2 linked regions of the Bombyx mori genome follow. The protein of the gene in region 2 purifies or fractionates together with the protein of the main gene of each other region. This does not show direct contact. Links are inferred from orthologs where the notes say so. Each region holds a gene or a part of one and is shown on either strand. Other genes may lie near its edges. The genes, in order: uncharacterized protein LOC101741862 and Brf.

What was found.
Region 1: the proteins of Brf (region 2) and uncharacterized protein LOC101741862 purify together in Drosophila melanogaster (affinity purification with mass spectrometry; 3 studies listed by BioGRID, with this or other methods). This does not show direct contact. The link is inferred for Bombyx mori from reciprocal best matches to the Drosophila melanogaster genes Brf and Trf.

What each region holds. Positions count from the first base shown.
Region 1 is NC_085118.1:10,666,155-10,669,988, reverse strand, and holds part of uncharacterized protein LOC101741862, read right to left. Parts: intron 1,985-3,834; coding exon 1,888-1,984; intron 1,690-1,887; coding exon 1,491-1,689; intron 1,439-1,490; exon of another isoform or gene 1,239-1,438; intron 1,009-1,238; exon of another isoform or gene 244-1,008; intron 1-243. UniProt on the Drosophila melanogaster protein: Acts as a transcription factor. Binds to the TATA box promoter element which lies close to the position of transcription initiation. May be essential for embryonic development.
Region 2 is NC_085131.1:9,033,770-9,037,603, reverse strand, and holds part of Brf (TFIIB-related factor), read right to left. Parts: intron 707-3,834; coding exon 480-706; intron 231-479; coding exon 92-230; intron 1-91.

The sequences.
Region 1 (3,834 bases), on a different chromosome or scaffold from region 2:
AGTCTAACTCGGAACAAATTTCACAAAAAAAAGTGGCCCCACTTGAAACCAAAACGACGTAGGAATAAAAAACCAATCACAAACGAGGTTAGAAATAGACATTATTTGTGATTGGTTTGAATTCAAAACGAAAGCAGGGATTGGTTCATGTGCTTGCTGCAATGTCAGCTATGACAGCAGTCATAGCAGCGTAGACGATATTATGTAATAAGTGGACCGGACAAAGTTAATAATAAAACAATATAATTGTATAATGTATATATTTTTTTGTAATAAGCTCTATGTCCCTCGAAATATAATTAATTTAGTAAGTTTTTGCCTAGAAAACATTAAAAAAGAATATTTTTTCGCAATGTAGGGAAGACGGCAGCGGCTTGGTTCTGCTCCTGGCATTGCTGACGTCCATGAGCGACGGTAACCACTCACCATCAGGTGGGCCGTATGCTCGTCTGCCTAGAAAGGCAATAAAAAAAACGGGTTCTGAGAAATTCAACCATTACACAATTTATAAAAAAAAAAGAAATGGTCATTATTTGTCTGGTGACTGTTTTTTAGTAAGCGTAGAATATCTTCATTGTCAATTATTTTAGAAAAACACTGTGTAGATATTACTGACAGATTTTCCTTTGTCATGTATTTCATTATCTGTCTTATTAGTGTTTCTGTGCGTGTGCATATTTTATACAACACCACAGATGGGTACGAGAGTCCACCGAAATCTTTCAAATTAATCAGATTGTGAAAATACAAATTTTGATTAGCAGGTAGCAATGATAAGCATTCTGGACAGTTGATTTTCGCTTGCAGTTTTCGGCTTACAAAGCCGGCTATATAGCCTAAAATTTGCTCCACTGTTTCTGGCAATTGAAGGCTAGCGTCCAGCGTCTTTGATAGCATGAATAGAGCATACTCTGCTGGTTTTCACAGGCATCCAGTCATATTCTTGTCCTTCCAACTTAACTGCAGCTATTCACTTTTTTGCCGAATTGCATTTTGCCGGTAGGAAAACTAAAAGAAAAAAAATTATGCAAAGTCCATTATCGTTATAAAATTATCAAAATAAATATACCTATTTTATAATAAAAAATATTTTATCGATGTACTTTTTAATATTTCACCAAGAAGAAAACAAATACAATCAAAAATTTACTGACTTCATGTTGCATAGTGTTAACCATCTCGGTTTGATAACATATTTGCAAATCATTAAATATAATTATAATTTTGTTACTACTTACTAGTTAAAAGTGATCCCTGGACATTTTAGCCTTGTATGGCTCCTGCACAACTTCACAGCACACGCTGGCATGAATATTGACAACACAATAATAAATCGAAATAAGAATGGTCACGGTGGACACGACCTTTAAGCCCCGCCTGCTTGCTTTTGTTGGGTCGTTTTTAGAGCGCAGTTACATTTCCTGACTTATTATTTATTCGTAGCGTAAAATATTAAACATTGTGCATAAGTATATTAAACATATGATTACCTGTAATTACCATTTTTCCGTTAACAAAAATAAGCAAGACAACTCTCGGTCTCACCATTCTGTAAACAAGTCCTGGGAATAATTCTGGTTCATAACTGGAGAATTGACCATGTGCCTGCTGTAAAGCTTCTAATTTTATTGGAAATCTAAGGTCAGCAGTAGCAATAAAATTTTGTATTTTGAAATTCAAAAATTTTGCCTGTAACATAATATAAGGGCAGTAACTTACTATGTGATATAGATGAATCATTTTAGATTGACCACACGCTAACGTGTCAACAAAAATTTTAATCATCTTTAAAATTTGATTACATTTTATTTAAGTTGTAATGTGTAGCAAGCAAGTAATGATTTCTATTGGGTTTAGTTGGGTTGGGTTATTGTACGTAAAACTTACTGGGAATCCGAGTTTTTGTATAATCCTTGCAATTTTTCTTGCAGCTACATATGAATCATGTTCATTTCTTGTCCCAGTACAAACTATTTTCCCAGATCTATGAAATAAAATAAAAAATCGTATTAAAACTGCTTGCTTATTTTTGTCACAAAGCAATAATGTTTCAGTTTATGGGTAGCTATTTTTGAAATGCAATTTTAACGTTGATCCAAGTCTCAAGATGGCCGGTATGACGTTACGATGTCATGAGCATGATGTTTTCTTAAAGATATCCATTGAAATCGTAGTGGCACTTCAAACAATTAGTGCGGTTAACGCAGTTTTCTATAGCAGTTCACCCACGCTATGAACCATATGGCATTGCACCATTTTCTCCAAGACCTCAGAAAACGTTCTATTATTTGTCTGTTTATAGATTTAGGACAGCAGAAAATAAAATTTGTGTTATGTTATACATTTAATGTTCGTTCAACAAGACACATTTGACGACAGAAATAAACAAATTTTCCTGCAACCAGGCATATTTTATGATAGCAATAAATAAATTTTCCTGCAACAAAGCACATTTATGACAGCAGTAAATAGGTTTACTACTCAACTATGTTTGTCGCTAGGGGCGCTATTCCAACTCCATATAAATTTGAACTAACTTTTACGCGATTGAGAAGTTAAAAAAATCCCACTAAGCACACAGGAGTCTCTTCATTTCGTTTCTTTAAATTAATATAGCATTTAGCAATAGCAAAATTTCTATACCTATGTCATAAAGTAACAAAGCATCGGTACAGTTATATCCTGATAAGATTCTTATGAAGTTAAGCCGAACAAACTTAAATAGCATTCCAAATGATTCGTTGCGTCGTCTGTAGTTGTTAATGCAGCTTTTACTTTACTTTAAACATGGACATTTACTAAATATTTAAACGTAGTAGGCAACGGCTTGGTACTGCATCTGATATTGTTGACGTCCCTATGCTTCGGTGACAACTTACCATCTGGGTAGACTAGTCTGCCTACAAGGGCAAAAAATCATTTTTAATTTTTTTGTTTAGTATAATTTTATATTCATTGCAATTTAATCGTTTTATTAAGCGGCACGTAAGTTGGCAAGGTTTTGGTGTAGTGGGGGTAATGTCGCGCATAGTGCACATTGCAACAAAAAAATGGTCACTTTTATTGCCCGCATATTATTTAATTTAATTTATTAAATTTTTTATTTGCTTTATTTATTTTTAAGCCTGTGTGTTTAGAAGAAATTTAAAGAAAAGAGAGGAATTCGTGAAGTGTATTAGATGTTATAAATAAAATATAATTAAAAGTTAAGAAGAAGTTTGCTTAAAAAAACATACTTATTATTAAAAATGAAGTGTCGCCGTCGTTACTATCATTTTCTAATAGTGCTACCCCTTGGATTAAATTTATGGTAGCACCTGAGCTGGTGGAAGGAGTTGGCTCCTCATCGTCGACATAACGAAGAGTCGCTGTCGTCACTGGCGTAAATAATAAAACGCTCAGTGACTGAATCAACTATATGGTAATTGGTATTTGGTCCTGGCATTGCAAACAAACTTAAAACAATAACACTCGTAACAAAAACTAAATTTAAAACAATAATAACAACTCGTAACTAAAAACTCAATATAAACAAAGGGTTCCTACAACTTTAGTAAGCGCATGTGTAATCGGGAGCGAACGGAACAGTGGACGCGGTGCGGGAGGGGAGGGTCGACTGACGCACCAATCGCGCGCTCGGAACGGTGCTACGTCTTTCCCCGCGTCCCGCTTGACAACCAAAGAGACCTAAAAAACGACTTCTGCGCATCTAGCGACTCTTGCCAATTTACGTGCCGGGGACTATAGCAATGTCGCGTATATGGCACGCTACATCAACGAAAGCACGGCCCAGGGGTCATAACCTCTCCCCAGTGTCATGTCAAATCTTATTTA
Region 2 (3,834 bases):
TTGCTGATGTCATTTGGAAATTTAATAATGTGGATTTAATTTCTAGCCAATAGGGATATTTCTTTGTTCAGAAATATTAGTTTTCACATACCCTGGGAGACGGGTCCCGGTGAACTAGTATACGAAGCGGAACAGACTTTTCGTCTTCTTGACATATCCTTTTCTATTTGAGCTTCTATTTCTTTCTGCAATTCCGTCAGTTCCTTCTCTCCGTCCTCTTCTTCCATTAGCTGAAGAAGAATAGTTTATATTTTGATGACACACCAGGTTAGGTCTAGCTGGTAACCATTCACCACCGCCCTATCTATTGCTGTAGAAAAGCAGTTATGCGTTCCTGGTTGAACAGTAGAACAGCCCCTGTACAAATTGAAAGCGCGGTTTCCTGTTTCAAAGTGGATGGCATCATTCTCGTGGTTTCCATTAACCTCTTAACTACCAATGGAACCTTCTCGAACAGCTACGAAAATTAGCTTGTTTACCTTTTGCAGCCTCTCTTTATCACGTTTCCGCGCCGCCCTGAACGCCGGTGGGTCCTGTTCCTCCTCTAGGTCGACGGTCATGAACTCTTCGAGGGTCAGGGCGCTGGATGGGGTGTCTCCGAATTCGAACATGCGTTTGCGGAGTGTTGACTCGTGAACTTTGACTATACGGACGATATCGGACGGGGTGCGTGAGAATTCGTGCAGTCGAGCTGCTATGAGTAATGCTGTAAAAGAAATTTACAATTTGATGTCGCTATTATTCATGTCTATCAAGAAACTAGGGCCTACCCTGAGCAACAAGTTTCTCGATGTTCTCTCTTCTTCTCGTCAATGGTAAGAGATCTCGTGGACGAATCCCCATGCGCTGGACTGATCAGGTGAAAGACCTTACTGTAACCACACTTAACGAGTGTGTGTGCCTCTTTATTTTTATTGCTTATTGGTTTACCCACCAAAACGGAACGCATGATTGCTTGGCGGTGGATAGGAAATATCTCGCTATTGGTACCCATACGTATTAGCCTACATTTACGGGCTCCGCGTGACATAAGAACTGAATCGTCATTAGTAATCTTTTTTTTCTCTCCTACCTATGCTGATAGCCTTGAGAGGCTATTTCAGCTTCACCCTAACGTTTGTAGGTGAGCTCACGGAGCTCAAACCGGAGAGTTGCTAACACTGACCCTAGCAAGAGCAGTGCTTTGCAGAATCTACCACCGGATCGGAAACGCGACCCACTGAGAAGATCCGGCAAGAAACTCAGTGGGCTGTGTCTATGGGCTAATTCGCTCGTCGAGCCCTTCGTCGCAAGCGATGCGTTCGACGAGGACGGTGACCGGTGCTTGTGGTGCCTAAGAGCACCGTTAATGGATCAGGAGGATCCGTAATGACGTACTTTGGGCGACGTCGACGGTTTACCATTCGATAAGTAATCAAAAACAGATTAGAGCAAATGAGAAGGAAAATATGCACAATGCAAATAATTCTTAATTTGTTATAGTATAAGAAACGACGACATTATTATAAGTGCTTTTCAAAGCACGCTCGTAATGTCTACCTTTTTAAATTCTTAATAATTTAAATATTAAACAAAAAAAAACACTGTTGCCTTGCTTGTATTTCGATTGGATATGGATTGTGTCAATAAACGATACATCCAAACCTTTTTTTTTTTCTTTTTTTTTCTTGTTATCTGGTGTTAAGTGGTTACTGGAACCCATAGACATTTACAACGTAAATGCGCCACACACCTTGAGATATAAGTTCTAAGGTCTCAGTATAGTTACAACGGCTGCCCCACCCTTCAAACCGAAACGTATTACTGCTTCACGGAAGAAATAGGCGGGGCGGTGGTACCTACCCGTGCGGACTCACAAGAGGTCCTACCACCAGTAACCTGTATACTCATTGAAAAGTTAAATGTACCTACATACAGATATAGAACAGAAACACTTAGTATAGAACTGTATAGACACTTCTTATGAATAAAGAAAGTATAACTTTAACGTACAAATGTTTGTAAAAAACATATCTATCAGTGTTTCCAATTATATGACCACCACTGTACATGTACATATGTATAATAATAGTAAATATGTATATGCAAAGACATGAACTCTAAAAACATTGCAGTCCTTTAAGAGACAGTCGCTCAAAAACGCTATACCGCTATAAACAGTTTATTCAATAAATTCGAATATCAAATTTAACGTGACCTTCGAATGAAGACAGCGGAAGACATGAGACCGATCGTCGTAGTGGCAACGCTATTCAATATGTTTTAATTTCCTTGTGTTTGAGTGTGTGAGTGTGTTTGTTTACGTCTTTCCGCCTGTCCCGCCTTGATGGATTATTTGTATTGTAAACAAATTTCCGCAGGTACGCTCAGAAAATATAATTAGCGGCAAAACGTTTCCACAGAGCTTGGTAGCGCGTCACTGATCAAATACCATAGAAGCAAAGGCTTTTAACTGTAAAGTACCGTTCTCTCCTACTGTTTGTCAACTGGTTTTATATTTGAGGCCGTCAGCGTAGAAGTGGCCTAAGCTTACCATAGTTCTTGTGGAGTAATGAGGTTTAAGTTTTCATGAATTTGAGTAGGCAAAAAAAACAATACGCGCAAAAATAATGTTTACAAAGCCATCTGTTATCTATGGGTGAAACTATGGATAGGCCGGTTATGCACCAAAGGAGAATGACCAGAAGTCGTCTAGCAAAGTTGCATGTTGCAGAATCAAAATAATCAGAATAATAAGAATCAAAATAGTTTTCTTATTTTTTACAATTAATTTCACTACAGAAATGTTTTGTACAGGACCGGAATTATGATTTTGGCTCTTCGTACACAAGGCTACGCAAATCTTCGATACTAATGTTGTAAACGACATTAGTATCAAGTCGCGAGTATCGAGTAGCGCACGGTCCGTACACACGACAATGAATCGCAAGACGCGAGTTGCCTATTTAGTCATTATACCATTAATTTAACATCAGATATTACTTGTTGTATTGTTTATAGTTTAGTGGATACGGATATCTGGTACGCTAGATAACGATCCTAGATCACAACAACAACGTCGGCAATCTGGCTTACAACATCGGCTATCATAATAAAATGTACACAAAATTCGTGTAAATACCTAAAACAAAAGCTTAATAAAAAGAATATACTGCCTAAAAGTGTTTTTTCTTTACAAAACTATGTACTGACTATTTTGAAAACTATAAAAATACCAATCTGTTATATTAACGGCCTTTCTCACGGCTACGAAAAGCTTTTTCTGTTATTTCCTTTTTTTAATATTCTTTTAATTTATAATTATACATATAAACAAGGATATTTTTCCATATCAGACACAAATTTAATATTAAAAAATTGCTCCGCCATCTTGGAAATCGCCGAGACTTATGTAGCGAAGATCACGACATGCAGGTAGCGCGCGATTGACACGACGCGAGTCGCGGGACGAATGTCGGCGACGCGACTCGTGTACGAACCTCAATGGATTTGTATGGCGGTAGTCGCTTGGAGACTAAAATCGTTGAGTATCGAAGATTTGCGTAGCCTTGTGTACGAAGGGCCTTATAGTAAATCAACAATTGTTCGCATCATTTCCGTATTAAAGCCATGACATGACGTTTCGTTCTCTCTATTTAGACAGATTACTCATGCATGAGTTTTTAGACTCAATCATCACAAAAATGATATCAAAATCTTGTACAGTTAAATAACTAACTTAAATAACTAAATAACTAATTATATTCTTATATTACATTTTACAACGTATTGAATTACGATTTTATCATTAAGTTAAAATAATTATTTTTTCTGTGTTCCGTTTCACGCAAACGC